Linked DNA regions of Styela clava. The protein of the gene in region 2 interacts with the protein of the main gene of each other region in a pairwise test. Links are inferred from orthologs where the notes say so. Each region holds a gene or a part of one and is shown on either strand. Other genes may lie near its edges. The genes, in order: WD repeat domain-containing protein 83-like, heat shock protein beta-1-like, nuclear valosin-containing protein-like and protein pelota homolog.

Evidence for each region.
Region 1: the proteins of heat shock protein beta-1-like (region 2) and WD repeat domain-containing protein 83-like interact in binary tests that used the Homo sapiens proteins (3 or more experiments, as listed by UniProt). The link is inferred for Styela clava from reciprocal best matches to the Homo sapiens genes HSPB1 and WDR83.
Region 3: the proteins of heat shock protein beta-1-like (region 2) and nuclear valosin-containing protein-like interact in binary tests that used the Homo sapiens proteins (3 or more experiments, as listed by UniProt). The link is inferred for Styela clava from reciprocal best matches to the Homo sapiens genes HSPB1 and NVL.
Region 4: the proteins of heat shock protein beta-1-like (region 2) and protein pelota homolog interact in binary tests that used the Homo sapiens proteins (3 or more experiments, as listed by UniProt). The link is inferred for Styela clava from reciprocal best matches to the Homo sapiens genes HSPB1 and PELO.

Annotation. Positions count from the first base shown.
Region 1 is NC_135253.1:10,241,101-10,249,071, forward strand, and holds WD repeat domain-containing protein 83-like, read left to right. Parts: upstream 1-4,750; 5' UTR 4,751-4,870; coding exon 4,871-4,949; intron 4,950-5,260; coding exon 5,261-5,457; intron 5,458-5,841; coding exon 5,842-6,021; intron 6,022-6,486; coding exon 6,487-6,685; intron 6,686-7,337; coding exon 7,338-7,606; 3' UTR 7,607-7,928; downstream 7,929-7,971. Other genes in the region: uncharacterized protein LOC120326295, read right to left, coding at 1-114, 605-747, 1,272-1,454, 1,626-1,699, 2,129-2,220, 2,412-2,517, 2,751-3,020. UniProt on the Homo sapiens protein: Molecular scaffold protein for various multimeric protein complexes. Acts as a module in the assembly of a multicomponent scaffold for the ERK pathway, linking ERK responses to specific agonists.
Region 2 is NC_135252.1:17,838,437-17,847,134, reverse strand, and holds the start of heat shock protein beta-1-like, read left to right. Parts: upstream 1-5,569; 5' UTR 5,570-6,036; coding exon 6,037-6,147; intron 6,148-7,437; coding exon 7,438-7,626; intron 7,627-8,698. UniProt on the Homo sapiens protein: Small heat shock protein which functions as a molecular chaperone probably maintaining denatured proteins in a folding-competent state. Plays a role in stress resistance and actin organization.
Region 3 is NC_135250.1:9,216,245-9,224,079, forward strand, and holds the start of nuclear valosin-containing protein-like, read left to right. Parts: upstream 1-4,419; 5' UTR 4,420-4,588; coding exon 4,589-4,756; intron 4,757-4,981; coding exon 4,982-5,090; intron 5,091-5,417; coding exon 5,418-6,107; intron 6,108-6,485; coding exon 6,486-6,653; intron 6,654-7,043; coding exon 7,044-7,156; intron 7,157-7,445; coding exon 7,446-7,570; intron 7,571-7,835. Other genes in the region: ufm1-specific protease 1-like, read left to right, coding at 1-422. UniProt on the Homo sapiens protein: Participates in the assembly of the telomerase holoenzyme and effecting of telomerase activity via its interaction with TERT. Involved in both early and late stages of the pre-rRNA processing pathways.
Region 4 is NC_135252.1:10,070,878-10,079,444, forward strand, and holds the start of protein pelota homolog, read left to right. Parts: upstream 1-5,103; 5' UTR 5,104-5,199; coding exon 5,200-5,240; intron 5,241-5,538; coding exon 5,539-5,635; intron 5,636-6,180; coding exon 6,181-6,327; intron 6,328-6,754; coding exon 6,755-6,845; intron 6,846-7,080; coding exon 7,081-7,244; intron 7,245-7,331; coding exon 7,332-7,392; intron 7,393-7,699; coding exon 7,700-7,861; intron 7,862-8,294; coding exon 8,295-8,415; intron 8,416-8,567. Other genes in the region: transmembrane and ubiquitin-like domain-containing protein 1, read left to right, coding at 923-1,056, 1,818-1,912, 2,058-2,204, 2,351-2,468, 2,915-3,180, 3,649-3,776. UniProt on the Homo sapiens protein: Component of the Pelota-HBS1L complex, a complex that recognizes stalled ribosomes and triggers the No-Go Decay (NGD) pathway.

The DNA.
Region 1 (7,971 bases), on a different chromosome or scaffold from region 2:
TTTCATCAGCTTCTTTCTCTCTTAATACTTGTTGCGCTGTAAGTTGTTCACGAACTTGTTGTTCTAAATCCAATTTGCTTTTCTCTGATTTAGAAATTTGGTTTCGAAGGTCAGCTGAAACAGATAAACATAAAATCTTTCAGTGGTCACAACAACATTGTTAGCTGTTATTATTTTGGGAACTAGACATCGCATACCATTCTAAACATAAATATAAAACACATCTGTATACTCTGTATACTGGTAAAAGATTCAGTAAAGCATGTTGAAATATAGGGAATCTACTAATAAAATTTCAGAATATTCAATGTCTCAGAGCCTATATCGGGCTCTGCATCAGGTGCCATAGAAAATCATAGGTGATTTTCGTAATTTCAGTCCTTAAATTGTGGCATAATATCATGATTTCCCAAAAGATTGAGATATTGGCTTATCTTTCAACCTACTTGCTTGCTTGCTATATATTCGGTACTCCCGCAGTGTGTGTACCAGGTTAGGATTAATCAATTTTCCTTATTTTGGGTATATTGAGAGTTCAGACTGTCTGTGTTAGCCAAGTGAATATACCCCCTGCCCATAGGTTTCAGACCCCTATTCTACATACCAATCTGTCCCATCAATGCTTCTCGTCCTCCTTCTGATTGCTCTAATCTTCTTCTCATTGAATCCATATCAGTTTCCATTGCTCTCTTCCCTGCTTCAGCTTGTAACAGTTGGTTGCGAAGAACAACTTCATCATCTTGATTCCTAAATTGTATTTTTTCCATGTAATTCTCATTTTTAAGAGTTTAAGAGTTGATAACTGACACAAAAATTTTGCAATACGACAAAAAAGCGATGACATTTCAGAATAAACATATCCAGAATTATGATAAATTAGAATATGAATAACATAATTACATAATAATAATTACCTGCCAAGAAAATGGTATCTCATGCATAGATATCAGACAGTAAACATTAAGACCTTCTTTAACGGCGCTCCAGAAGTGTGTATACCAATATGGAGGTAACTAAATTTGTTCGCCTATTTTACATCAAGTTTTGAAAAGAGACGGAAACCTATGAGCAGGGGGTATATTCACTTTGCTAACACACAGTCCCCGAACTTGTAATAGAACTAAAATACGGAAAATGGGAATAAAATTTTGCCCTCACCCTAACCTGGTACACATACTACGAGAATACCCTTTTAACAAATTTAGATCAGTGAAAAGCAAGGATGACAACAATAAAGCAAAACAGGTAAACAACAAAGAAGAAAAGCATACTTTGCTTGACTTTTTCTTAAAAGATCCCTTGTTGCATCAGTAGCAAATCGAGCTGCATTCTCTCTTTCACTGACCAACTCATTTTCTAATTGTTTTAATCTACGTTCAACACGATCTGCTGCTGAATCACCGAGTCCATTTCCATTAACTTCTTTTAATGCTTTTCGCGATCCCAATTCAGAACTGTGTAGAATATTGATAAAATCATAATAAAATTTTTGAAGATATTCAGGGTTAAAAGCAAAGTAGTAAACTTAGTGCAGGGGAAAATGTTTATAATTTGAAAGCATATAGTATAAAAATCATCAGAAACAACAGTCAAGGTAAAAATGAGCTAACTTCACAAATAATTACCGATATTGTAATTCATCATCCATTCTTGATTGGTTTGCAACCAACTCTGACACTCTTCCTCTCAAATCTCGAACCTGAAAGTATCGATTTTGAAACTTACAGAAAAAATTAAAGTTTAATAATAACATTATTATATGACTGGAGAATGACATAATCAAACAAGTCTATTTTCTGGAAAATGTTGTAATACTTATTTAAAAAGCAGGAGGAAGCATCATACAATGGCATAAAGGTAGTTCAAGCAGCGAAAGTGGGTTCTTTGTCTACTGACCATATTTCTTTCTGATTTGGGCTAAGGATTTTTGCTACAAAAGTTTAAAAGTTTTCCTGAATAGGGGCTTATTTGTCATTGATTAAAATCTTCAATGATTATAAGTTCAGTTTAAGCAATGTATGCCTTTGCTGCACAAACTGCGACATGAAGGCCCTCACCCAAACTGAATGAGTCATATATAGCTATCCCTTTCTACGAGCTAACAAGACAAGATTATTTTACATCTTACCGATTCATTGAGATGATCTGATGGTCCAGCTGTTGTTCTAGATGTTCTTTCAAAGCCAAGACTACTCGCTGGTCTAGGTCGTGTTCCCCTTGCTGCAAAGAATAACAAAATTCTTATTAAAAAAGACTGTTAATGTGGCATAGTCTGTTTAATAATAAACAAACAAATCATAATCAAGTATGAATTGATATCCAGTAATGGAATCAACAATTACAACCTGTCACCATCTACTCATGTGCCGCATAACACTGGTGAAAATATCCAAAATTATTTCAAAACTTACAAGAAGTAAAATCACTTTGATGAAGACTTCTTGTTTCACGAGCTGCTGCTCTCTTTTCTCTTTCATATCTTAATTTGTTTATTGATCCTTCCAGGTCATTTTTCAACTGCAAAATAAAAAATTATATTTGGCGAGTCAAATAATTCAAGCGTAAAATTCTTCCCATTTTTTAAAAATGATATTGACAGGGTTGAAATAAAAAATGTAAGTCCAAATTTCAATTCCTGAGTAAGCCAAATTGAGTTCTTCTTTCCAAGAACTAACTTGATAATTTTTGAACAATATCAGTAAAAAAGATATTAAAATAACTGAAACAAAATAATTAACTAATCTTCTTACCTTGGATAAAGCTGACATAGAATCATCATGAACATCTTTGAAGTCTGAAAGTCTGGAATCCATGCTTTCTAAATTCCTTGATGTATCTTCTAAGTTGTCCGCTATTCTATCAACTCTTCTTGTAATAGATAATGGATCCATGATTGTGACATGTCTTGATCCACGCAGAATCCCAGCAGGAGGAGATGGTAACCTTCTCCTAGATGGATTCTGTGGAGGAGAGTTTTCAGAAGAGGAAGAGTCCACAAATCTTTGGCGACGACTCGGCATTTTTTTTATTTCAAATTTAGTCCAATAGTCAGATTGTTTAAAGCAAGGAATTATGTAGTCTTTTTCATCTTAGCAAAGAAAGTTGAGAAATACACCTAGCATTAGGCAGGATGGACGATCTGAAACATTATTCACAAATTTATATTAGAGAATATGATATTAAGAAATATTAAGTATGAGTATTTATTAAAATATTATCAACAAACCAGCAAACATAAATAATGACTCACACTTAGGTATGATCAGCAAAACTAAACAAAGATTATTTCATTATTTCATTTCAACTGCTTTCAAATTACTGAAGAATGCTTGTTTCGAGAATACGGATATTCTGAAATGACTATTTTCTAGTCATAATAAGTTTGCATTGGGTTTTTCTGCAGTGCAGCAGTGGAATCATAAGTTTTTTAAGGGAATTTTTTTTTCTAAATATGGAAATATTGTCTGCATAATAATAATCTCAGAGTATTTCGAGTTATCCCATGAGGGCCCCGACAGGATCTTATTTCAATTTTCTTTTGGAAATTACGATAATTTTGAATATACAAATATTTAGAATTTACAAATTTAGGTTAGGTCTTATTTTCGGGGAAACAAGGTAGGCCTATCAGAATATTGCAAGGCAATTTCTGAATATTCGGAAATTGAACTTCAAAAGATAAAAAAAAATGCATATTAAGCCGTGCAATCCAAAAAGATTAATTTAAACAAAAATACTGGTAATCAACTAGCATAGATCTAAATAACGCACACCAAAACCAATCACACAACTTTTTCTAAAAATATGCCACATACACAGTTAAATGGAATCACAAATTTCCCATTACAGCACCATTCTGTATTCTGGTATTACAGTTTTTCTACTGCGATTTTGTAATTTAGAGGAAATCTTTTAGCTGTCAGCGTGTCCTACAAATAAAAGTCTCCTAAACAACGAATTCTCAAATCGATACACAATTGTTTTATCCGATAAACAAAGCAACACGATCAGTAGCAACAAAAAGCTTTTTGAAACCACCGCTGTTTTGTTTGGCCAACTGCAACAACAGTACTCGCCGTAACGATTTATTTTGAAAATCAGTCACGCGTGCCGATCAGTGATCGCAGTTTCGATTGAAATGAAAATAGCTTAAGAAATGTTTTAAAAAAACTATATGTAATATTTATCAACTATTATTAAAAATTACATGACACTCAATAGCAACAACAAACGCAAACTATATTGAATACATAATAAAGCTCTGCAATTTCAAAAACCTTCATGTCAGCGTCAGATCTGAATTCAATCAGTGTAGTTTCGCACAGCGTGTAAATAACATACAATCATGAAACTTGTCGATGTCCGAGTGTGGGCCATCCTTCCATTGCGATATAGGATAGGATAGGATTTACATATTTATCCCGGGGGAGAGGAAAGCCGATAAGACGGCTTATCCATATGGCGAACCACGGCCTCTCGTCCGGTTACCATTCCAAGTCGGGTATGGGATTAGTTTTTACTGTATTGTTTGTTTTTTCGGAAGCATGGACTTGGTGGTGGAGGAAGCCGTAACCGACCAGCGGTTACGTGAACCACCCAACGACGGCGAGGAGTCCAGCAATCCTCTCGCACATAACCATCCCTGCATGGGATTCGAACTCTGCGTGGATATCTTTTCATGAATTCCTGTCCATTTTCGTACAATTTGTAAATTTTTGTCAAAACGTTTTTGTTGGGATAAAGTGGGTGTCTCTTGTATTGGTCAAGATTTATAACTACGTTTTTTAATATCATAGAATATATGAGATTATATAATATTAACGTTAGCACTGCAAAGGTACGGTAGTTTGTTGTCAAAGTGGAGTAACGCATGGCGCAGAATGTTGCAACAAAAATATTTTCGAGTATTGATTGCGGACAAGGAGCAGTCCGGGCTGTGAGGTATAATGGTGTGTATTTTTTACTCCTTTACCAAATGAATTATAGGGATTAAAAATCGTCGTTACAAGAAAGATTCATTTATTCTCTGTTCAGCAACTTGGCGAGTTTGTTTTGATTCTAGAATGAAAATAGGCTATAGACATTCGAGGTTGTATGATTGATTGAAAATATGGGGTTTAATGTGGTTGTTATTGCATTCGCATTGTACAGCACTAATACAGTAATATCTATGTGTGCTAAAAAATTCATCACCCTCAATTAGCCAGTGCCTAGCTTCAAATGTTTGTAGCATCTTCAGCCAACCATATTTTACTTTCAGCTGATGGAAATTACTGTATAACATGTGGAAGTGACAAGACCATTAAATTATGGAATCCTAACAAAGAATTATTAATAAAGAAATACACTGGTCATGGTTCAGATGTTTTAGATGCATGTGGATCATGTGACAATGCACAACTTGCATCTGGTGGTAGTGATAAAACTGTTATATACTGGGATGTTGGAAGTGGTCAGGTAAATTAATTCTCATAGCAGCAATCCATTCCAATTAGAAGTAATACAAATTGCTGTGCTGAACAAGCTTATTGCACTACGGTTTGGTTTTTTTTTGTGTGTATTTCCATTGTCTTTATTGGTGGGTGCATACTAATACATTTTAAAATTTGTTCCAACCCATGCGCACTGTCTGGTAATTCCGCACATTGTTTGTACTTTTTGGATTGTTTTGATGATAAAAAAAAGTGATGAGTTTTCAGTTATACTGGCTTTGCAAATTAAACTTATTTATTATTTATCAAAGCTGAAAGTGTTGGTTTTTCAAACTCTCAGTTTCAATGGATACTCTTTTGGCTCAATTCAAAGAAATCTCAATAAATCTTATTTTTCACACCGTTATAGATTATGCGACGATACAGAGGGCATGTCGGAAAAGTGAATTGTGTTCAATTTAATGAAGAGTCGACCACTATACTTTCTGGTTCTGTAGATTCTTCAATTCGAGCGTGGGATTGTAGATCACGCAAACCAACTCCTTACCAAATTATGGATGAAGCAAAAGACAGCATTACATCTTTACAGGTCGTCAGTTTCTTGGCTTCCTTTTAATGCATGAAATTAGCAATCAAGACATTGCTAATATGTCTTGAAATACAGGGCGTACCCAGGATTTTGAACCTTACCTCTCTTTCGAAATATACAAAAAGGAGCTTTTCTGTATCGTACATATAAATTTTTTGTAGTTTGAAACGGCTTTTTAGACTCAAGACTTTTGAAAACCCTCGTTTTTCAGCAAAACCTGCTAGCTGTTACAGTCTAACTTGGCAATTATAAATTTTAGAACCTCCCCTTTGAAATACCTAGCACAACACTCCTGTAGAAATCTTTCGTTATCACTTGTTCTATGAAAAATAACAGTTTACTGAGATTGTTAAACTGTGGCTCAATAAAGAAGTATTTGGCTGTCAAATCACTCTGAATCATCAAACTCTCTGTCGAATCACATTTAAGTTTTTGTTATTAAAGACTCTCGTGCTTTTAACACAGGTCAATGATCATGAAATTCTCTCAAGTTCTGTCGATGGCAAAGTTCGAAGATATGATATAAGAACTGGAAAAATGTTTTCTGATTTCATCGGATCAGCTATTACTTATGCTGTTTACACTAAAGATTCTCAATGTGTTTTAGCATCAAGTCATGACCACACAATCAGATTGTTGGATGTTGATTCGGGAGAAATGTTAGGTTTGTACAAAAGTGTGATTAATAGTCCTTTATTGTTGAATTTTCTATTTTAAAAGTTTTTTTTCAGCAGAGGGGGCAGATAATTTAACAGTTTGCAACACAATGTGCCATATGTTCCAAAATTGAAAATACTGTTTTCACATCACAGGCAAAATTTCATTCCATAGGCATTGAAATCAAATTGTCCATTAATAATATTTGATAGTAACACTAACAGTATACCTATGAAGTACAAAGTGAACTGAATATAAGCATTCTTATATATCTGTGGAATTCTCCTGTCTCACCTGTTTCACTTTATACAGCATCTTTTGCTCTAACCAAGTCTCTATACTGTCAGCCATGAATATTACTGGAATCTGCCTGGATCTATATTGCCTGCCCAATTCATCACACTCTGGGTTAGATGGGGGCACTAATTCCAAGTCCCGTATCGAACTGTAATTACTGTTGCAACAATCACTTTTCATAGTATTTGTAAAATTTCCACAGTATTGGTAGAGTATCAGGTAAACCGGGACCCGAATATCGAGATTAATAGCTAAATTAATAATTTCTGATCTCTTTGGGTGTTTATGTAATTCAAACACAAGCTACAGCATTTTAAATTTATATGAATTTAGTAATTGAAGAAATTGTTTTTAATACACAGGAGAATATACTGGACATAAAAATAGCAAATACATGATAGAATGCGGATTGAATGCTAAAGACGATCATGTGATCAGCGGATCTGAAGATGGATTCATTTATATTTGGGATTTGATTGAAGCGAAAATTCAACACAAAATAAAGTTAAAAGAAAACAGAGTAGTACATTCAATCAGCCATCATCCTGAAGAAGTCAGCCTTCTTGCTGCAATGGATAATTCAATAATTGTAATAAGAAGTGAAGAGTTTGAACCGAAGGATAAAACATAAATAGCATTCAATGAGGAATGTGACAGCAAGGTGACTTACAAGTACCGTGGATGTGAGAGAGGATCGTCCAGAATCTGCATCTGATAAGAGTGATACATGGGATATTATTTTACTTTGAGATCGCAGATCGAACAGGACAAAACAGTATAATTGACATTTTCAACAAGTCATTTTAAGAAAAATTCATCATAAGCATTCAGAATAATGCATCTGACATCTGATGGTAGGGCAAGAAATGAACTGCTAAGAAATATAAAAAAATCTGCCTTAATTTAGTAATGTGCTGTCACTAGATTTTGAGCATTTTCGATGGGTCTCGCTCATACCTTGTGTAACACATTATACACTTTATTTAGGTAACTAAC
Region 2 (8,698 bases):
TCTAATTCACTTTCTTCTGAATTGTTTTCGAGATCCACTGTCTCAAAAATCAACTTTTCCTCTATAGGTGTACTGTGATTTCTGCAGTCAATACAAAAACAAAAATCTGTGCAATTTAAGTTGATTTTGGCACACTTTCATAAATTATTTTGACTATTTTTCTTTGCAGTTTGCCAACTCAAGAACTGATTTGAGGGCCACATGCTTCTTCAGTGAATCATTGTTGGGTGGAGAGTATAATCCTTATGTTTGACAGTGTTAAATAGACGTGCCCTGGTATCATTTACATTCTTCATATCCTTTTCAAATTCCTCAGCTTTATTTATTAATACCTCGTTAACCTCGAAAGATCTTCATAGTCGAGGGAAAAAAATGAATTGAAAATCGTTAGGTCGGATTGGTGGAACATTGCCGTTTTCTTTTGTAGTACAGTATCTAAAATAAGGAAGAAAATAATATTCGGAGCGGCATGATTTTAAAAATACCCCTAAATACTAACTAATACCTTGAATACATAATGCATTTTATCTGATGTACTAAATGAGCGTATATATGCTCATTGCATGTTCTACAGTCCAGCAGTGTTTGCATACCATTACTAGACTATATCTACACTAAATTTTGATATATCACAGTCTGAAATGTCCTATGACAGTATGAGTATGGACTATAGACTATATTTTGAAACATCAACTGTTTGTCTACAACTTCATTTCTCACCTCTCAATCATTTCCAATGCTACCTTTCTTTCCACTCCGGCATAACTTATCATTGCTTCCCAGGTTCTTGTCGACTCTATGAATTTAGATTTAGACCAACCGACGTTAGTAAAATTGATTAATTTCTTCTCTTTCACACAACCGTGCATTACAGAAACAGCCATTCATTTCTATTTCCAAATATGCTGTGGCCTATATAGTAGTATAAGTCTGCTGAATAGTCAAAAAGAGTCATTAAATTAATCATAAACATTTCATGCAAGCCAGAAAATATCGTTGTTTGTGACATACCGGTATTATTCTAGGTCTAGCCTTCCTTGGAGTTACCGTACCTATTTAACAACGTCTTATGAGCTAGTGCTCAACTAAAATTGCTATTTATGGCAAGGATATACAAGTGTTTAATATCTTACCTATACTTTTCAACACCTCCTTAGAATAACTGAACTAATATTACCGGTAACTGAAAAAAACTATGGAAAGGCTACTCAACGCAAAAGCGAGCAGTTGAGTACATCTGATATTCATCCGACCACTGGGGATCCACCTACAGCTGACTAACTTGACTGTTACGTCGTGCAGAAGTCTGCGTTCATTGGCCCATGATACCGGAAAAGCAGAGAAAATAGGACAGATGGTAACACATATTTATTGTAGTAAAAGCGTCTTTTCTGTAAAACGTGCAACTTTTGGAAGTGGGAACAAGGCAATATTTGTTACTAAATTTCTAAGGAACATTTTAAAATCATTTTCAGGTAGTTACCTGATGTGCGCTACGAAACTGAAAGATAAATGGCCTCGGCTCGCGGCCTATTACCGATCTAAAATAACACGCCAATCCGCAGACATAATAATGTGACATCAACTGCCCGATTATATTTAGTTTTGAAATATATATATTGTGCTTATGCGAATTCGTTATCGTTGTTAGAAAGATCTGGTATGAAATCCCGGAAAGTATATTTAATTTAGTATAATGAAAATATATAAAGTATATTAGTAAATCAAAAATACATATATATTCATTGCCCCGAAATCCCCGCAGTACGGCTTCTGAGTCAGTCGTCGAGTCTAGATTACGCCACTCGTAAAAAGAGCCGACTTTTATGTACGGTAATGGTTTTTCTGTTGAATAAAATATTCAATCCATGATCTATATTCATATTTAAAATGGTTACTCTATTTATGTAATTGTGATAAACTGAATCTGCGATTGCGTCGATAAAATAAAAGCACCACTTACCCAAAATACAACAGCAATCCGCGGACATAAAAATGTGTAGCAAAGTGCCCGATTACATTTGGTTCCGTATTCTTGCGCATTAGACCAATATGAGCTGTCCCCGCAACTCCCACTCTGCTCCATCGCAATGCTGCCACTCGATTAATTTTAAGATATCACCGTTCTAGAAATTCCTAAGTGTGCGATAAAATCCAACAGAGTAAAACTTATTTCAAGTCGGTAGTCTTAGAACACTACAGGCACGAGGAATTTATGAGATTTGCAATGTCTAAGAAAAAGAGTTTTTAAACTGTCATGGTCCACCCCAAAACAAAACTCACGGTGTTTACCGTTTCCTGATTCAGGGGGAATAAACACCGAAATAAATATTTGAACCGCCTAAATAACATGTCACGCTGACGAAAACAATCGGAGATTTAAACAAAATTCAATTGCAAACGTTATTAGCGACTTTATTTTCCAGCGGTCAAAGGCCGGGGAAAAGTTCACATGCCTAATACCTATCAAAAAATGAACTGCTTTTCTTTATGCTAAAAATGTACACAAACTCATTTGCACTCCTTCACAATTTTTAAACTGTATTTTTGAACCTGGTGGTTGTTCAAAGGTATTGGTAGTGAATTTTGGAGACGTCAGGCCAACCAAGAAATCTGTAATTGTTGTGTATTTTAAACAAAAATAATATAATCTCTTTCCACGAAATATCAAGTATATTTATGAGCGAATTATTCGCTATTTGATTAAGCCATATCTTGTTTTATCTGAAGAAGTTAGACTATGATCTAACGAAAGCTCATAAATATACTTGATATTTCGTGGAAAGAGATAATGTTATTTTTATTTATCTTCATAATACTATCTCAGTCACGCATCCTTGTGGCAACAGCCACATACGGATCCGGAATAGAAAGTAAACAAGGAGAAAGGACCTGTAGTTCAATACACAATACCCTAGTACACCCCATTTTTTAAACACACAGTAAATAATTTTTGCATTGTTCAATAGTGATGAAGTAAACAATTGATTGAAGTTTTACGTGTCTTGTTTAAAATATTATTTAGGCAGAAAATACATTAAAGCGCAAAAACCATACACTTATTGCTTGTTTAGTTTTACCTAAAACTTAGTTTGGCTGTACCAGGTATTGCAGACTGAGCGGGAAAAGGAGAATGTATTTGAGTATGGCTTTATACGTATACGACTGTGAATGGCGAAGTTGTACTCCGATGCGTTTTATGCCTAAACAATCTGAGCAATGACGCTATGAGACCAACACTTACAGCGCCATGGTAATATAAATTAACCTGCCCATTACAAAAGCATTTTTTCAAAGCAAAAAGGGGGGCGCGATGTCTGTAAAATGTTTCGAAGGGGGCGCGGCTCAAAAACTTTAAGAACCACTGGTGTAGGGTAATAGATACTCCTATAGATATACCATCAAAAGACTCTCGCTTAAACTGCTACTAGGTAGCTTGGAAGTTTTAGGGGTTTTTCGATTACGCCAATACTGCTATCAATTTTAAATACCCCAAAACCAATACATGACTTAGAATCTTAGATAAACTAATTGCATTATGTCCATCGCTAGCTCGATGCATATGGTTACAAAGCAAACTGTGTCGTCTCAATGTGTTCAGTATCTCCTTTGCAAACGACGAGCGATTTAATGTAAATTTAATAGCTCACCCTACTTGTCGACCGGGCAGAAAGATTTTTCAGCTGCACGTTTTTTCCTAATGGCCCATTTTCAAATTTATTTGAATGTATTGGGTTGGGATGAAAGGGTGGATTATAGGGCCTGTTAACCCCCTCGTCACAGGCATATTTATACCGATTGAAGAGAGAGAGAGATTTATTATTTGACAAATATTATTTGGAACAGAATCATTCGATGAATCAAGCCATCTCTACAGCAGCGGTATATAAGCCAAAAATATTATATAGTTATATAGTGGGACCGGTATGTTAGTCGTTGAGTGGGACCAACGACTAACATACCGTGGGACTTACCGGCATTTATTTGTATTACTTTATTAGTTGTGCTGTTATAGTATTTAGTAGAATAAGTAGATCATATAACTCAGAAATTTGGCGAGTCCAGTTTAAAATAGTTTATTGCTCGGTTTGCCCCTTAAAAGAAATTTCCTTTCAAATTTTCGTATTGCGCTATTTAGAAACTGTATTGCGATGTAGAATATGGAGGATATTGATTGCCGGACTTTAATTTTGTACCGGACAACTTCAGTTTTTCTTCTTTGTGGCAACTGACTCCGATGACCCCTAAAGGTCATATCGTATCTCTTCAGTCATGTACCGAAAGCATCTGTTTATTTGATAGTTTTATATACTATAGGGCAACAAAGATTCGACCCTATCTGCGTGTCCACACACCCGTGTTATTGAACACACGTTAACAGAGTGTAACTCCGATCTTGACTCCTTCAGAGGTCAAAAAGCACACAATGTATTGAATGCCAAATGTTATATTGTAAAGTTGCACAATCGAATTGATCCAAATAACGAATTACACTTGAAACCCCTAAAGCAAGTATATGTGATGAAACCAAATTTCTAACTAACAAATAACGGCAAAGACAAGCTACACTGAGTGAGAGAAATATATCATAAAGGAAATGAATTGGGACAACGACCTTGTTTCAGGCAAATAACATGCACTACTAACAATAAGTGGTGAAAATATTAAAATACACAGTAACTATCCTTATGTACTTGCTACAATACCGGTGTGTGAAATATTTCAATTATTTTAGGTGAGTGAACACGTACCACATCTTCTTGGCAAAACCTTCCATCTTATATACATTCTGTACGTTTTAAACCTTATCTAAGGCTTTGTTCGCTCTCCTGATTTCATAATCAGTTTTTATTTATTTTTAGCATTCATTTTATTGTTTTGCTGATTATGGAGTCGAAATAAACTTATACTTATTATACTTATATATGTATGTTGTTTCTTGGTTTGGCAAAATGAAATAAACTCTCTCTCTTTCCAATATGGCACGAAGGAAAAGCAGATTTAGCAACCAATTTCTTACATTACTATGATACGTTGGCTTGATTAGATTTTATCCGGCGGTATTATCTTCTACTCGAACCAAAGGTCGCCAACAAGACTTGAAGTCGTATAACAACAAATTGATCTATAATAAGTCCTTGGTGGTATTTGATATCCTTGTTATTAGCACCTTCGATCTAGTAATGCTCAATTGAAAACAAGTACTACTCCGGAATGCACCCGGTTGGCACTTCGATCATTTCTTGAAGTCGCCAGATGTGGGCAACATTTGTCCCGCATTCCGAAGCGATAAAGTTATCTTCTGCCCAATCTTGGCGGAGTAATACAGTATGCGATAGCACATACTCCAAAGATAGAGTCACGGCTTTAATTAAGGAAACAAGCGCATACAAGGTGACAGCTGCGAATGCCCTCGACAAAATGCCGTCACAAGTCGAACATCGTCTCTGCGACATGTCAAATACGCGACAGACGAGTGATTGCCAACTCCCAAATTGGGATAAAAGAGCGATGGAATCTTCCCCCGCTTTAGAATATAAGATGAAATAGCGCAAGAAACTCATACCTGTGAATAAGTTTACAAATTTCACCTCAGCTACATACTGCCAGACAAAGTGTATGGAAGCGAGTTATTACGATCGGGATATTCAGGAAAGATAATATTAATGACCAGTTTTTAAGTTTGATCTTTGAATAGTGGAACGCGCAACGAATAAGTAAACCAGATGTAGATGAGGCAATGGGACTATTTTGGGATCAAGTAAAGGGGGTGCTGGATCGATAAAATGCCGCTCTAGCTTCTGTATCCAGTAATTGGGATAGTGGGGCTTAGTGTAAAAATTTATTATTCCGCAGATCGAATATAATGTGTACGCTTATGAAAACAGTACGAACTTATTCAGCTAGTGACTACATGGAACTGGTCAGGAATCATAAATGAGAAATTCGTGGAATTGCGCTATATTCAGGGCAGGATGTCCTCGGCATCTTCATAATGTCCATTTTTATTAGTAGGTTGTTTATAAATAAATAACGATGGCTGAAAGACAAAGAACAGAACGTCGAATTCATATAACACCATACAGACCAACCCCGTGGGAACCGTTTCAAGACTGGACGTTTCCCGCTACAACTATTTGGGACCAAGTGAGTCTTACTTTTTAGTATTTAATTTTCTATGCAGTACGTGTTGAAGATAACGACTTTACAATAAATTTTTGTATTGAGACAGGTTCATTTTTATACTCTAAGTCTAATAGATCACAAAAAATAAATTTCTTGAAATATTTTTCAAATTATTTTTGAATGTCAGACAATTACATAAAATTGTCTCTGTATAATCCCGGATAATATTCAATAAAATCTATATTATATATTCTGGACTTTTTCACATTAGTCACAAATCACTTTTCTATTTCGGATATAATGGGTTGAAAAACTCATCCTTATCTTTTGCCCAGAGAACGGATTGCAACTGTTAATTAATTATTAGTAAATAATCAAATTTTATATTATCCTTAGTACTTATTTTGTGCTATGTTTGCTGCTTATATCTGTATATTGTTGCATGTGTTGCTATTCTCGTTCTTTTCATATTTTATGCATGTTGAATGTAACTACTACGTTTGAGATTTCGAAGAGGAGTTTTTTATTAACATCATTATTTCACTATTTTAAATCATGACACGTTTCTGTAAAATGCCAACCGATACAGACGTCAGTACTTCAGTCAGAAGTATGCCAGACGAATTCTTCGCAGGTTGGATTCATAGGCCACAGCACTGTTGAAAAGATGTGGTGGTAGCCGAAAAGTCTAATGTGATTATATCCAGTAACTTAGGATGTTACGATTGGAGAATAGTTTTGAAATAAATTTATGATTTATATACGGTATAAATATGCAGTCTTTTCTTAAAAGGCCATTTAAATGGCGATTTGGACCATAACTTGAGATACGTTATTCTGTATTTTGCTTATATGCAAATTTAAAATGATACGGATAAATGGCATAGGACACCATTGGTACGAGGAATTCGTAGTAGAGCCTTTTTATTAATTTTATTATTCAACTCACTTTGACTCTTCACTGCTCTCGGTACATGTATCACCAATTGCAAATATAATTTTATCTTCTGCTGCCGCTATGTGATCACTGAACACTCACAGATTATATTTATTGGGCAAGGCACAAGTCAGCAAAGATCTTCAATCTAAATTATTAAATCTCATAAGCTTGATTATCACACATTAAGCATTATGATGATACACTCCAATGTCATGCTCGATTCATGTTTTCTGCGCTGACTTCACAAGTCAACTACGGTACGTCATCAGTTTTCTTTCACGGTTACCATCCAGTCACGCACGCCTTTACCAGTTTTTCGTCGACTTCACTTAGTTCGCTTGAATATAACCAGACATGCACTTTGAATACAGGATTTTGGCGGAATGCCAATGACTAACAGTGTGCGAAGTGAGCATCGTCAGAGATTGGTCCGAGGTGGGGGTGATCCATGGGCTTCTTCGGCGACTGCTTCCGTTCCGTATGTTGTCAGATCTCCGGCTGCCGTCCAACCTACTGCTCCGCAACTTGTCAACCGACAGAATAGTGGTGGAGTTTCTCAAGTAAGGCGATTCTAGGATATAGGTTTTTACGCATCTGCTGCGAAGAGTCGATTACTAAATATGATCAATGATAATTGTGCGAATAGATGGGCGAATTTTTGTCTAATATAATATTTTGGATCTTTCATACAAAGCACCACTAATGCAAAAATGTGAGATTTGAGAAAACACCCATTCACGTTTTTTAAAACAACAAATTAGTAAATATCCAGTTGGGGTTAGGGTCGGAAATGATTTGAATTGACAGCGCAATCTGTATCCCTATCCCTAACTGAATATTTATTAATTCTCTTATTTGGAGCGCTGGCGAGGGTGTATTTTTTATGGCGGGTGCTTTGTAAAAAATGTCTTTATATTTTTATAATGTCATGTTATTTGGTAAGTGTTTACTAAATATTTATGCTAGATTGCATGAGATCTGTCTTGATTTTAGAATGGTATACAGGGTTTCCGCATTGTTGCATAAACGTGTTGTCTAATGGATTGTTTGGCTTGAGTTTGAATTATGAAAGATTTTGGGTTCTATTGAAGTATGGCTACCAAGATGGCGGACACCGAAACGTAGTATGTGTACCAGGTTAAGGTTAGGCCATAATTTAATTCCAATTTTCCTTATTTTAGTTCTATTACGAGTTCGGGGACTAGATAAGTTGTACCTGAAATTATTGCCTAACCCTAACCTGGTACACATACTACGTTCCGGTGTCCGCCATCTTGATACGCATACCTCAGAAGTACCAGATTTTGTAATGTTTAACCGGAAGCCCGCAACGCGGCATAATCATAGGATGAACCAAGAACTTCCCCCTGCTGGCAGTCGAGGTCGGTTATTTGATAATCAAGTGAGCCGTTTTGCGAAACGCCGAGGAATCCAGCAATCTTCCACATAACTAACCATCTCCCAAGAGGGCCCAGTTTGTGAATCCGCGTATGGTAGTCTGCGATGCGATATATATAAAGCGGATTCCTTACTCTTAACACAATGCCAAGCCAAGTTGTATATCAAACATATTCTATGAGTTTTCATATTAAATATTATACTCAACAATAATGAAGACACAAGAGGCATATC
Region 3 (7,835 bases), on a different chromosome or scaffold from region 2:
TTCAGCATGCATTGGTTTCAATGGGTGATAAGGAGCATTCATTTATGGGGTCAAAAGAGTGGATTGGTTCTTTCGAAATATCAATATGCATAGATTATGTGTATGACGTACCCTGTAGAATTGTGCATGTTCCCCAAGGGCAACTTGTGAATCACATACAAAGTATAAACGAACATTTTCAAAAGTATGGCAGTCCTATTATGATGGGTGGAGATAATGATAATTCGTCGAAGGGTATTTTTGGTATCGCTAGATGCAATCAAGAAAATTGTATTTATTTAATAATTATAGATCCACATTGTACCTTTATTGATTCTGACCCAAATTTCTTAGTTAAAAATAAGTGGGTTGATTGGAGGCGAATTGATGATTTTGATAACTATTCTTTTTATAATCTTTGTTTCCCATTGTTGTCTTCGTAATTTTCTGACGCAGTAAATTGGATTTAAATGAATTACTTTGTCATGATTGATTACTTGTTGGCGTTGTTGCATTACTGAATATGATTGTTTTATTAGAAGGGGTGCTTGACACAATAGTTTATAGTATTTACTGGAATTTCTCATCTGACCAACTCAGTGGTTCTTAAACTTTTCGAGCCGCGCCCCCCTTTGAAAAATTTTACAAACTTCTCGCCCCCCCTCTCTTTTTGCTTTGAAAAAATGCTTTAAAACGCTTTGGAGTACGATTTCGCCATTCACTGTCGTATGTGTAAAGCCGAATAGGATAGGATAGGATTTACATATTTATCCCGGGGGAGAGGAAAGCCGATAAGACAGCTTATCCATATGGCGAACCACGGCCTCTCGTCCGGTTACCATTCCAAGTCGGGTATGGGATTAGTTTTTACTGTATTGTTTGTTTTCGGAAGTATGGACTTGGTGGTCGCACATAACCATCCCTGCATGGGATTCGAACCTGCGAACCCACGCAGAGTGATTAGAGGTGCGGTGGCGAGCGTATTCCTAACGCTTAGCCCGTTGAGCCACACCGCCGCGTGGTTGGTCATCATACATTCTCGATTTTCCGCTCAGTTTGCAATACTTGGCAAAGTCAAACTATTATTAAGTAAAACTAAACAAGCAATAAACCTATGCTTTAATGTATTTTCTGCTTAAACGTTTTATAGGGCAACAAAGATTCGACCCTATCTGCCTGTCCACACTCCCGTGTTATTGAACACACGTTAACAGAGTGTAACTCCCGATCTTGACTCCTTCAGAGGTCAATAAAGCACACAATGTATTGAATGCCAAATGTTCGTATATTGTAAAGTTGCACAATCGAATTGATCCAAATAACGAATTACACTTGAAACCTTAAAGCAAGTATATGTGATGAAACCAAATTTCTAACTAACAAAGAACGGCAAAGACAAGCTACACTGAGTGAGAAAAATATATCATAAAGAAAATGAATTGGGACAACAACCTTGTTTCAGGCAAACAACATGCACTACTAACAATAAGTGGTGAAAATATTAAAATACCCAGTAACTATCCTTATGTACTTGCTACAGTTTACATAAGACACGTAAAATTGCAATCAATTGTTGTCGCTAAGGCGTTTGCAATTTGTTTACATCTCCATTGTTTACGTCCGCGTGGCGTGTTATTTAAGCCCTAAATATCTTGATTTCGGTGTTTATTCTTCCTAAATCCGAAATTTCCCTCGACATATTCTTGTGCCGCGAAGACGATTATAATTACTTATTTTTGTTCTCGAATGGAACCATGACACCTCTGAGGAAAACGAGTTAGGTTTTATTATAATCATCAGCGACGAGATGCTAAAGATAGAATAAAGAAGTGAATATGTAACTAAAAATTCCTTTATTGTAAAAGTGGCATTATAAAATACTAAAAATAAAACGGAAAACGCCATAAGTTTTGTTTTGGGGTGGACCGCCACAGATTAAAAACACTTTCTTAGACATTGAAAATCTCATGAATTCCTTGTGCGTGCGCCACACCAGTAGTGTTCTAAAACTACAGACTTGATATAAATTGTATATCAATCGGGGATTGAATATTTTATTCAACAGAAAAACCATTACATATCCGTTGAAAAAGTCGGCTCTTTCAACGACTGGCGTAATCTCGAGGACTGACTCAGAAGCCGTACCGCGGGGATTTCGTTTCGATTAATATGTATTTTTCATCTACTTATATACTTTGCATGTATTTTAATTGCACTAAATTAAATATACTTTCTGGGATATTATACTAGATCTTTCTAATGACTACAACGAATTCGCATGAGTGCAATATATATAAAAACTAAATATAATCGGGCAATTGATCACACTTTATTATGTCCGCGGATTGGCGTGGTATTTTAGATAGGTAATGAGTTTATTTTATCGTGAATCGCCGCAACCGCGAGTTACCTTTAACACAAATGAGAACCATCTTGAATTAGTGTAGTTATTACGAGACAGAAAAATTCATTATAACACGAAAAAGCCGGTATTTTAAACGAACGCGGAGACCGTTTCAGAAGCTGTACATGTAAATTTACGATTCCATCTTGGGACCTCTCGCGCCCTCCCTTTTGTTTGTAATGACTTCTGTATAGATATCGATTGACATTTCGTGGTGAGGTTATTTTGAATACTGTAGATTATAAGCGACTTAGTACTTATGATGAGGCTCTACAAGAATCCTAAAACGTGTTGGGCGGTGACACTTCGCGCTATTAACTTTCTTTTATGTATAACCTGCCTGGTATCTCGATGTTAACAACTTCACAACTTGAATATGATTGAAATCTATTGCAGTCACGTGAAATACGAAATTGTGTGGTGATAAAACACAAAATGATTCCAGTATTGTAGAAACATAAATGACATACAGTATACAGTATTGTAGGATGCAGAGGTCCAACTGTTTAATTGATTACAATAATATTGAGGTCAAATGATCATTGCTGAGACGCAACGATCAACTGTTGAGGTCGAAATGATCATTGTAGAATACGAATGATTAATTAATGAGGTGTTGAGGGTTGCTAAAGTTTACGACCAACCCAACAGGCAGGTTAACTACATACTTAATTCTAGAATATGCAAACAATAGCAACATAAAAATACAAGATATGCAAAATGAATCAAACCCTATTATTAAACTGATGGACAAGTGAACAAATCCGCTCGTTGCGGCAAATAAATTAGCACTACTTGAACAGCTAACTCTTAACACGAAATAAATGGTAAACAGCCGACTGGCAATTATCCGAAATAATAAACAAACAAAAACGAGAGAAAAAAAAGGCCGATAACAGACTTTGTTTACGCCGACATGTCTATTCCTGCCCACGAACAGATGGTGAAATCGCCTTGAAGGGAGTAATTTCCTGAACGGTCATTCGACAAAGTGCAATGACCGATATATCTCGAGAGGTGACCGTACATTTGAACCCATGTGTATATCTACGGGTTCAATCTATATACGGGTGCTAAAACCCATGGGTTAGGGTCAGCATGGGTTCAACTATCCGAAAAACAAAAAAAATTACATAGGTGCAATAGCATACAGGTGCAATTGTCATGGGTTCAAATGTACGTGGGTTCAAATGTAATGGAACCCTCGGTCACATTTGAGTGGATGACGATCATTCTGATACACTCAAATTTTCATTTAGAAAAAAAATGTCTCGCTTAAGTCATTGAGAGATGAATAAAAGGAGGATTTGCCCACGCTAAAACAAACAATGATTTGGTATTTGTTACATACAAAGTTTCTTTGTTTCATTTCATATATATTTGGGTTTCATTACATTTGAACATGATTTGAGCCCACGTTCATTTGAACCAATACATTCGCACCCGTATATCCGCGGGTTTAATCTATATGCGGGTGCTGAAATCCGTGGGTTAGGGTTAGTATGGGTTCAAATATCCGCAGGTGCATATTTCCATAGGTGCAATAGTATGCAGGTGCAATTGTCGTGGGTTGATATTACCGGTTCAAATTCAAATGTACGTGGGTTCAAATGTAATGGAACCTACTGATACAATGTTGAAATTGTTGGAAATATGACGCCATCCCATTATAGCGCCATACTTTGGCACTTCATTCGATAGAATTGAAATTTGGTCTGTCGAATAATTGATGAAAATTATAAAGAAGTAGTTAAGATATAAATCTTAAGAGCATAGACTATTTTAGTTGATCCGAAGTTTTTAAAAATGAGGACAAGTCTCAAAAACAAGCACGGAAACAAACCCTATCCACGAGGATTAGGATTTATCTCGGGGGAGAAGAAAGGGGACAAGACGAATCAATCATATGGGCCGGCTGCCAGTCCATGTCGGGTATGGTACGTTAATCATGATGCCCATGTCAGGTAGTTATAGCTGTTACTTGTTACTATAATTTTCTGCACTGATTACAACGACATGCTAGTCGTCGCCCTACCCACATAATTATACCCAATAGATGAGAACTCAGAACGACTCCGTCCATCACTTCAGGGTAGTCCCCGAAATAAACATGCTTCAATCTTCACTGATCCTAACCAAAGTCACTTTGATCTTAACTAAGCTATCTTTCGATGTACATTTGAGCTTGAAGGCTAAGCTCCTGGAATGTCGTTTCTTCCTTCATTTGATCGTCGTTTAGTGGGAAGAGTTAGAAAATATATGACAGAACGACGTCGTGTATATGTAGATGATATGGCAGATGACTTGCAATCTATATATCGCCAGGATTATGGAAGAAGAAAAAGGAATGGATTCAGAAAATTGGTGAAACAGGTATAATTATGATTGTATTTGGCAGTTCTAGCGATTTTCAATTTCTAATATTACTTTATAAGCATATCTTCCACCCTGGCAATCCAAATTAATTGTAATCATGTCCTATTGTATTGATAGGCTATTTGAATTTGCTGCTATAGCTTTTATTATTGTACTAGAACAATTTTGTTTGCTGAAGCTTTGATTAGTAGAATGCATAAAAAATCATATTTTCATTTTCAGATACATTTGTCAATTGTCGAAGAACGGAGAAAAGGGAATTTGAATGACTTAGAAAGGCAACATATGAGTAAAAGAAGGAAAGAAGATTCTGGACATAGCAGCTCTTCTGGTTAGTATGACACAATGTTGTATTTTTAACTCAGAAACATGTTCATTATAACATTTTGGGACTTGTTGCAACTATTACTCGTACAAGTATTTTTACACGAAGATTACTCGCACCATTTAACCTGAACAAGGCCCTGCACAAACAGCCACTGTTATCCAATGCTCTAGCTCTGTAGGGAGCTAATATTTTTGGAAAGATTGCATTGCCTGGCCAGTTTATAACACCCTGTGTGACGTTGTAGTCATGGGTTCGAAACTTAAATGTGTAACCTTCGATGCCAACACAATAAAGTTTAACAATTTAACAGCCAGACCATCTATATTTTAGATTCTGCTGACGATGATGAATGTTTTGTCGAGCTTTCGGACCATCGATTAATGAATTCATCTCTTATGTCTCTTTATAAAAAACAAAAGAAATCTCGTTCAATGCCTTCTTCACCATATCATTATGTTGACTGCTCAACTCCGGCATCAAGCTTTTTTGAAAAACCTTCAATAAAAAATACAGAAGTGGCGCCTATTCCAGAAATACCCTTTGTAAAAGAAAAGAAAGATATAATAAATGCTGTTAATAACGATGATATTTGCAGAGAAAATGAATCTCGAGAAGAGGAGAAAATTGAGATAGACAAGAAAACATTTCATTTTTTTGATTCAGACTTCGTTAGCAAAGAAAATAGTCTTGTAGAGAATAATGATAAACCTACCCTCGATAAAAAAACTGTTACTAAGACAAATATTCCATCTAGTACAAAAAAAGATAGGCGAAGACATAGAAAATCAAAAAAGAAGGAAACCGAATCAAAAACTTCAGACGCTGATATCGACATTCTAGGCAAGGATGCAACACAAAAATTTAAATTCCAAACAACAATGGTAAAATTTGAAGATATTGGTGGAAATGAGAATACGTTGAGAGAAGTTTGTAAACTTCTTGTTCATATGAAACATCCAGAAATCTATAAAACACTTGGGGTTATTCCACCTTGTGGTATTCTGCTTCATGGCCCACCAGGTAATAGTGTTTCTGATATTTCATATATTCCAGTTCGATGGATAATGTTTTCAAATGAAGAAAATGATGTAGTGCAGTGAGTCACATTTTGTCTACAATGTCATTTAATAAAAAGGAAATTTTTATGGGGTGTTTTCACTCCGAATAAACAACTATTTTATTATTTGATTCCATGTTTCTTTCAATTTGATTCTGTCCCAACTCATATCTTCTAATTTGAAGTATTATAAAAGAACTATTTATGAATGCACATCTTCGATTCGCATTCTGATAACTTTTTTATGTATGACTCATTTTTTCTGAAAAGTTATGGTGTACTCTTGAACAGCTCAATCTTCTGTTTCGTCATGTTTGACTATTTTGTTATTATATTTTTAGGTTGTGGCAAATCACTTCTAGCAAATGCTATAGCTGGTGAACTATCACTTCCTATGTTGAAGATTGCTGCTACTGAAATTGTTAGCGGAGTTTCAGGAGACAGTGAACAGAAATTACGTGAAATGTTTGAAATGGCATTGTCATCTGCGCCCTGTATTGTGTTTATTGGTATGTTTGACTACTTACTAGTCGGGAGAAATCTTTAAACTGTTAGTGGTGGACGGTGGTAAAAAATTGATTATGAAATAGAATAAGAATGAACAATCCAGATAACTCTGCATTGAAATTGTGTAATATTTCTCAAGATTTTGGTCAGCTAGCTAGATAATTAAAAAATTTTCTTTCTCCTTTTCACTAATTTTCTTGAAAAATTGTACTGTTCACTGCAGCCTCTTTATCTCGACATCGGGCAATAACATTGAGAAATACAGTACCTGATAATTTTCCAAATATACTTTTATATAATAGTATGTACTCCTACCACTGAGCTATGACTTTCAATACTATTATGACTTCTTCAAAGTGCTCAATTATCATTTTTATTCAAATGTTTTCCAGATGAAATCGATGCCATAACACCAAAACGAGAAATTGCTTCTAAAGATATGGAACGAAGAATAGTAGCGCAATTACTTTCATGTCTCGATGATCTTAGTGCATCACCATCACAGGTATCTTATTTTTTTTCTCAAAATGTTTTCATGTTAAAAATCCTTATGAGAGGGTTCATTTTCATTCATGCATCCGAGATAATTTCTGAATATGCCAATATGGTCCATCTTCGAATTGAAAAATGATTTAAATTTATAAACACTTGGAAATTTCAACCACACGTTTGACCGATTAAGATCCGGCAATATTTTTTTTGAGACTGACTGAAAAAGAAGAACCATCTGGAAAATTTAATATGTGCATCAATATTACTCAATTACATGTGCTTCCTCTCCCTATATATTTAAGGTTTTAGTAATCGGTGCAACCAATAGACCAGACTCGATCGATCCTGCCTTGAGAAGGGCTGGTAGATTTGATAGAGAAATTTGTATGGGTATTCCGGATGAAAAAGCTAGAGAGGATATCTTGAGGTATATGTGTATTTAGGAATTGATGGATTTAATAATTTATTTTGGTGGATAGAAAATCAATTAGATGGCTTAATGACAGGGATGGCCAATACCGAATAGTTCACTATTTTGAATACTTTGAATACTATTTTGAGTGTTTTCTCTTTTAAGTAACGATAACCGGCCTACGATTAAATATCATGATTGGCAGACCCATAAGAACCAAATATAAGGTTAACACAAATTATGCTTGAGAAGACTATTGCGAAAATAAGCAGGCCACATA
Region 4 (8,567 bases), about 7.8 Mb from region 2:
GCTCTCTTGTTTTATTTTAGATGACAATTTTTGTCACTGTGTTGTTTTTGCAGTGAAATTGAACTAGGCCTACAGCATCACCGTTTTGCGTCAGGGAGTGTTTTTTTGTTCCATGTTCTTGTAGGAAAAGCACTGTTGTGTTACACCGTAAATATATACTGTTACACCATAAATATATACTACTACGTTACACATACACGTCTCACATTTTAATTTAGAAGGTAGAAGTTTATTGCATCCCATTATTTACTTTAATTGGCTGTTTTTGTTAAATTGTTTCCAAAGTACTGCCCGATTGTAAATCGCGTTTTTCTGTGTTTGTTTTATTCTTTTTTGGTGGGCGGGCTCGTACATTATACGCTATTTAACTTTTTTTAAGTTATGCCCGTCTCTCAGGTATCTCTGCATTTTGTTTGTCTGTTTACTTTTTGTATTGTTTATGTCAAAGAACCAAAATAAATGATTGATTGAAGTCAGACCTAGCTGCGTCGGCTTTCAGAGCAAGAAATCGCAGCCGTCACTTCTTTTTGCATCAAGTCGCAACAGGTCAAAGGTTATGAATGTCCCTAATTGGTCTTATTTTTACCAACTGGTTCATTAATTGTTTCCCACACTGTCTTGATGTTGCCTTTGTGAGAGACAAATTTAACGTTAGACATATAATAACTTGATTTTTTTTGGATTAGCCAAGCACAAAAATTCCTGTATTCAGGAAACGCAAAAGCAGATAATCTAACCACAGAGTGAAGTAACAACAACGTAGTCACGTGTTAATCAGCTGAGAAAAGTCGAGTTGTAACTACTAACTAGTGACAACTACATATACCGTATCTCGTACCGGTTTACGTTGCCAAATGCAGAAATAGGGGTTTATGAGTAGACTATAGTGAATTTTGCTTTAGTTGCATATTTTCTTCTTGACATGTCGTCGTCTTACCTGATTGACGGAATTGGCGATGAGGTAACAGTATTGTTAGGCGTTCTCGTAGCAGTTTTTGTCGTCATAGTATCGTGGTTGTCCACGAGAGTGAGCGATTCCAGTGGAACCACTGAAAGGTGAGTGACTAAGATTAATATTTTTTTTAAATCTGTAGGTTGAACTACTGTGTTCTAATATTTTGAGTTTTAAATTGGTCGAATGAAACTTGATAATTAGACTATAATACTGATGTATGAACGTTTTGCGTAGTGCAAATTTTGTAGCCATAAGTTTAAAGCTATTTTAAGGTTGCCGATGACAAGTAGCCTAGACCGAATGGTCATTTCGCGGTTATCCTGTCGATTTGGTACAAATATTTTGTGATCTTACTCACTTTCATTTATTATGCTTTATCGGAATGGCAAAGACTGGATTGTGGTGGTTTACTTCGGTTAGTTTCTGTTCCTGTGTTCTGCTAATTATAAGCTCATACCTAAATTCTGGCTGAAAAGGCGGGGCTTTTTGGCTAAAATTTGGACCTGACGCCGTGTATTATAAAAATGATCCTGCCTAGTCTACTGGTTGACAAAAACTTTGACTCCATCGCCAAGACAACATAATTTTTCTATGTAACTGATGTAAAGCCAAGCCTCCTAATTGCATTCTAAGAATGCTTAGTCAACTCAATGATTTTGAGTTCTGTTGGCAATTTTTATTTATCGTTCTGTCATTGGAAGCCTGAAATTCTGACTTTGATGCGTTTTAAAATCAGAATTACAACTCCTGAACTTTGGCACCAATAGAAATAAAAATATGATAAACCCACATTCCGCACCCCGGACAGCCTCACCAAAAATATCAGATCTCCATCAATGCTATGTTATATTCTGTTTATCAGTTTTCAAAATAGTCAGCAGACATCTGCAACTGTAGAGAATCAGACACACAGTGCATCAGCCCAACCAAATGTTCCAACAGAAGCTGTCCAGACAGGTAAAAATGTTTTCAGTTAAAAACCTATTCAACAATGAGCCAGTTCAGCAGTTAGTGTACTTGCATAAAACAGTATATTAATGACAAAATCAACATATCATTATCAGTATTGTCTTCTATACTAAATCTATTCATCTTTTTACAGAAGAATCTTCTTCAAATTCAGATGCTTCTGGGCCCACACAAGATGAGTCAGTTGTGAGCAACTCATCACCAAATGATGCTCCAGTATTAAGACATCGAATTCTTCATGATGCACAAGCATCTGCACAAACACCTCCGACACAGGAATGTAAGTCTTTTCAAAAATTATAAATTTCAACAATTCCAAAAACCATATTGAATTTTTACAAAATGTGTTATTTATTGTCTTCTATGTTCCAAAATCAGTAACTGTGATCTAATCAGTTAGATTAATTTGTTTAACTTTTTATTAAGCACCGACTTCCTCAACCGCTGAAGGTGGTGCAAGCATCACAATACGTTTGAAATTTATGGATGAAACTATACAAACTGTGAAAGCTAATCCTGATGAGACATTGGAAAATTTTATGAGGTTATTACCTTTTATAATATATTATTGGGTGTAATACCTCATTTTGTCATTATTGGGCAATGTTTAGAATTCGAATAAGATATCGCATTGTTGAAAATTGTGGAGAAATTGAAAATCTGGCTATAACAACAGTGTTGTCATTTTATTGATTGTTATTAAAACCTCTGAGGCAGTATATATTGCATTCTGTTATTTTTTTTTTATATGTCACTTATTTCACGCCTTTTGCTCTGAACAAGGCTCTGTACAAGCAGCCACTGGAGCTAAATTATTGGAAAAACCGGAATCTTCACAGTCACCATTGCCCATACAATTATTCACACCCTGGGTGGGTGTCCGAGATGTACTGATGCAGTGCCAATACAGTTAGGTCCAATGTTTCAATAACTACTGGGCCATTGTGCATTCTGTTGTTTTTGTTGAAACACCAATTTAAATTTTTACAGCCGACAATTCACCTCTGATACTCGTAATCGATATAGATTAATTTATAGAGGACAAGTTTTGAGAGATCAAAGCCGGACTTTACGCCAGTTTAATTTAGTTGGAGATACCACTGGGGAAAATCCAACTATACCAATGATTCACTGTTTTCTGTCACCTGCTACTCCTGCCAACGAAGCAGGTGTTAACATGGCTAGTAGTGCTTCACAACAAATGCAGATGGTTGCAGAAGAACTCCACATAGGATCTTTCATGCTTCCAATACTAGGCAAGTTATTCATTTGAAATTTATTTTTTTGCTTGCCATCAGCTTTGGCATATGATGAGAACAATTACTTCTACCAAAATAATATAGGGTAACGCCAAATAATTGAATCCAGCACATTTGGAACATTCTCCTAGAGAAGACTCAACTTTTGTGCAAAGCATCCAAGGTTGCTCAAACTTTTGGGTATTATGATACACATAACAGAAGTTCAGGTGTTAACTTTTTTTTCGTTTTTTTAGGAGTAATCAGGAAATTTAGGGGTTCTGATTTTGGGTCACGCTATTTGTAGTTCGTGAAGAGTAAGAATAGGTGGATATGGTTTCCTTTCCAATTCACTTGTATGTTGTAAATCGAAGGATTAGGAGTCATTTTATATTATATTGAAATGGATATACTAATATAAATGTTGAATGAATATTGAAATGCCATACTAAAATTATATTTTAATAAATATCGTTTTATTTTTAGGTTTTGCACTGGCGAGCCTTTGGTACCTTTGTATATTTCACACAAGTCTGTTCTCTATTCAGTCAATAGTCAGTATTGTTGGATTCTCCTTCTTATACATTGCTTTAATTGTCAACCATGTCATATGACCATAGACATGTTCAATACAAGATACAAATATATATTACGTTCATGACACTGTCATCCTTTGTCAGGAGAATATCTGCAATGTTGTCAAGTCACACAACTCTTCAATGGTTTATGCCCTTCCAACATATTATGATGAAAAATTCAGATGTACAGTAATGATGACTTTTAATGCCGAAGAAATTTGAATAGCTGAATATTTTTAAGGTCCAAAATCTTGAGATTTTGATTTTGCATTTTTTTATTATTTAAAATTACAATTTTTTCCAATCTTGATTTAAAATGTTGTAAGACTCAACTGGTACTGCTACTTGATTAAGTTACTACAGTTGAGTTGCTATGGCCGCACAAGAGGAGTTTTATTGGAACTGCATTAAGCTGGAAAAACATTTTGCGGAAAGCGACACTGATCAGGATCGCGATCTACAACTTGAAACAATCTGTTTATAATATGCTCCCTATCATGTATTGCTCATGTTCAGACGAAGCAGTTACAGGATGAAAAAATATATGAATATAATATATTCATCTTACGTTTTTGAGTAACGCAGTAACTGGGTCACTACATACATTTGGCCGACCAGATAAGGCGCATAATCTATTTTTAAAAATAAAAAAGGGTTCAAATGGGTGTTTATGGTCTGTAATATGTTAGATCAGTCAACTCTCGGATCACATTGTGTAAATCGGTCTTATTCTCTTATGAAATTTTTCGAATGAAAATATATTTCAGCTAAGCTGAATCAGCTTATTATATTTCTTTATGCTATTGCACATCCAATCTATTATTATTCTATGCTGATGTATGTTTACTTGGAATATTGTATAGTCGCAGTAGTAATTTCAAAGTATATTATGTGCTGCTTAAATTTGTTACAGAATTTTGCGTTGTTAAGTTTTGCAAGATATTTGCCCACTACCACAGTTGTCATACGTAATCTACGGTACCTTAAACCAGGGCTACTTAACTGGCGGATCGCCATCCGAATCCAGACCTCTTGAGTATTCCATTCGGACCGCACCTGTTTCTTTATTTTGAGCATATTCTCATTAAATTTGGATATATGAAAGTTTTTTTTGATAAGTAAATCTTATTTATATTTTTAGAGGTTAATTTATCATTACAACGCTCGTCGAAGATGGCACTGAAATATATTTAGGCACACTGTGAAATATATTTTCTGAAAAACGGGCCCCAATGATGTTAGTTTTGTTCCTGGATCTTTGGTGAAAATAGTTGAGTAGCCCTGCCCTAAACTGTCTTTCAAGGGATTTTGTGCAAATGAAAAAATATAATATATTAAATGTGACTGAATTACTTGCTTTTTACTAGTTCACTACTTATGACAACGATTAGTCTAATAATATGCTAGTTGTTATTAAAAGCTCCAAAACAGACTGTAAGCAAGACATCGTTACTCCAACATGAAACTTGTGCATCGGAATATAACAAAGGATTCATCAGGGTAAATAACATTGTTTGAAAAATTTTATTTTATTTTCCGAGATTCTAAATTAAAACTGAGTTTTACGCACGATTATCTGTTATGGAGAACACCTGTGCTAAAATATAAATCGTTATCTATAGATTACTTAAATTCATGTTTGAATCACAAATTGCGCTTGAACTTGGAAATTGTGAAAACGTTGATCATCTGCTCATTCAATTCCTAGATCTTCAGATCCGTTAATTAATCAAACAGTCGTCATTATTTTTCATGTGTAATTGTAGGAAATATTAAACCATATTGCTTAACGTTTCAGTCAAGTGACTCTCATTCCAGAAGATGGAGAGGATATGTGGCATGCTTATAATATTATCCAAGCTGGAGATAGTTTGAGATCAACCACAGTTCGTAAGGTAACCACTAGGAGTTTTTTCTGAAGACACTAAGTATAAGCTATAAATAATATGATTGTTTACACTGTTAATGAGAATTCGACAAAACAGGGAAAAAGTGCCTCGATTAATACCTGGATTGTCTATACATGCAATTCTTGAAAAAGATATAAAAATTTTCTTAGGTGACAAAAAGTGATTATTTTTAATATTTGAGCAGACTAATAAAACTATACATGTGTAGCAGTTATTAAGTGTCTGTAAATAACATTTAATGAACTTGTGAGTATTTATTTCAAAAATGACCTATAAAGGACCTTCCGGAAAGCCCTTTTTTACAAAAGTATCAATATACCGGTAATGCTACCAAATATCCCATGTATTTTCGTATTGAAGCTGTTTGGGGACAAAAAGAGTTTTGTAAAAAATTGGTATAATATGGTTAAATATAGAAATTTCCTTTGTGCGATTTCAACGAGGTTTGCAAGTTCCATCTTCTCATATTCTATACTTGGATCATGTTATGAAAAGATTTTTCAATTCCTATGACAATCACACTTAAATAGGTTCAAGTTGAATCGAATACTGGTAGTGTTGGAAGTAGCAGAGTACGGACAACATTGACAATCACTGTGGAAGCATTAGACTTTGATTTCCAAGCATGTGTTCTTCGGGTGAAAGGAAGAAATATTGTGGAAAATCAGTTCGTCAAGGTAAAATGTTTATGTCAAATTTAGGACGAAAGTAACAATGTATGTTCACAGCAAGGTTGTTTTTATGGGTAAGAATCATTGATTTTTGGGTACTCCCGAAGTATGTGAACCAAGATGGCGGACACCGGAATGTAGTATGTGTACCAGGTTAGGCCATAATTTTGGGTACAAATACTACATGAGTCACTTCGCTGGTCCCTGAACTCGTAATAGAACTAAAATAAGGAAAATTGGAATAAAATTATGGCCTAACCCTGACCTGGTACACATACTATGTTCCGGTGTCCGCCATCTTGGTTCACATACTTCGGGAGTACCGATTTATGTTTATGTTTCTCAATTTTTTTTATTGGTATGATTGATTCTGTCCACTTTATTAAGTTGTATTATCTGGTATTTATCCGTCTAAAGCTAATATATTTTTTAGATGGGTGCATATCATACTCTTGATTTGGAAGTCAACAGAAAGTTTACACTTGCAAAAAAATGTTGGGACAGTGTGGTGTTAGATAGAATAGGTAATATTATCTTTACATACCAGTCATATCGGAGCTAAATAATGTACATTAATCAATGGTATTACTAATATTTCTTGTTTTGGGCAACACAGGTGTTAAATCATATTCATGGACGAGGAAAGCTGTTTATATAATCTCTAAGTATTCGGTTATCCAAAGATTGGTGAATATTCAAGAATACCCGCTTGTAATTATCATGTATCTAGTTTGTAGTCTTGTTCTAATTCCTCCCTAGATGCTGCTTGTGATCCAACTCAAAATTCTGATGTTGCTGCTATCGTAATGCAGGAAGGTATTGCACATGTTTGCCTTGTATTAGCGAGTATGACTTTAGTGCGAGCAAAAATAGAAATGCAGATACCTCGTAAGAAAAGAGGCAGCTCGCAACAGCATGATAAGGTAATGTTGTTCTGATTTTATTTTGTAAATGTTATCCTGTTGTTGGTTTACTTTTAATTATATTAAAAAGCTTCTACATTTTTGCAGGGTGTTGAAAAGTTTTTTGATTCTGTATTGCAAGCTATTCTGCGGCATGTAAATTTTGATGGTAAGCAATGATTTTTTGATTACATTGTTTGAATGGTTTCTCAACTGGGTTGTAGCAAATAAAATTTGGTGAATTCCAGTTTTTTTTTTGTGAATGCATCGTTGTAAAATGCTGGTCTGAAGAATACTTTTGGCAGTTTTCATTCTTTGCAGTCAATGCAAAGTCACAGAGAAAGGGGCAGCGTTTTAGCACACACTGCTTCAGTCGATCGTACTAAATAATATCCGTAATTGGTCATTTCCATATTTATGTTAGAATAAATAGTAATAAAAACATACAGTTTATACTGAATTCATTTCTTTTTTAGTTGTTAAATGTGTTCTTGTTGCGAGCCCAGGATTTGTAAAAGATCAATTTTTTGAATATATGTTCAATTATGCTGTGAAGACTGACAATAGGGTTCTTATTGAAAATAAATCAAAGTTTTTGTTGATACATGCTTCGTCGGGTTTCAAGCATTCTTTAAAAGGTATGAAGTTTCTGTGTCCTGATTTTTTTGCTAACATAGGTATATTTGCTGTTTTTATCTTTACTGGTTGTTGCTTTATAAAAACAACTCAATGAAAGTTTCAATGTATTATATAATTGATAAGTTACGAACGAGCCGTGCGGAAACATATGGACATGAAGTCACAACCTTCCAAGAGAGACTTATTCTCCAACTGCTCGAAAATAGAAATTGGTTTTTTGCCAAGAGTTTCGACTCTTATCCCAGTGACAACATGAATAACAATATCTAAATTTATAAAAATGCAAAGTTCACTCTTGGGTTGATTTGTAGCATCAGGATGAACTAAAAGAATTTTTGTATCTTGTGTGAAAAATCATTTGGTGCATGGATGCCCCAGTGTGCTTGGCATATTGTAGCCACTCTCCTGTACGCTCACAATTTATGTTTTTAGAAGTTTTAAGTGACCCTTCTGTAATTGCGAGACTGGCAGATACAAAAGCAGCAGCTGAAATACGTGCCATGGAATCATTTTATAAGATGCTCCAACAGGAACCAGACAGAGCGTATTATGGGTGAGGCTCAAATGAATAGGTTAAAACTGTGCCGGTTGCCAAAATTCTATCTACATAAAAAGAATAGATTGGCGTGTGTATGCAACCACATAAAAAAGTAACAATAGTTGATTGTAATGAAGTAGCATCTGTTATTGCAAGTTTTCAGTCAA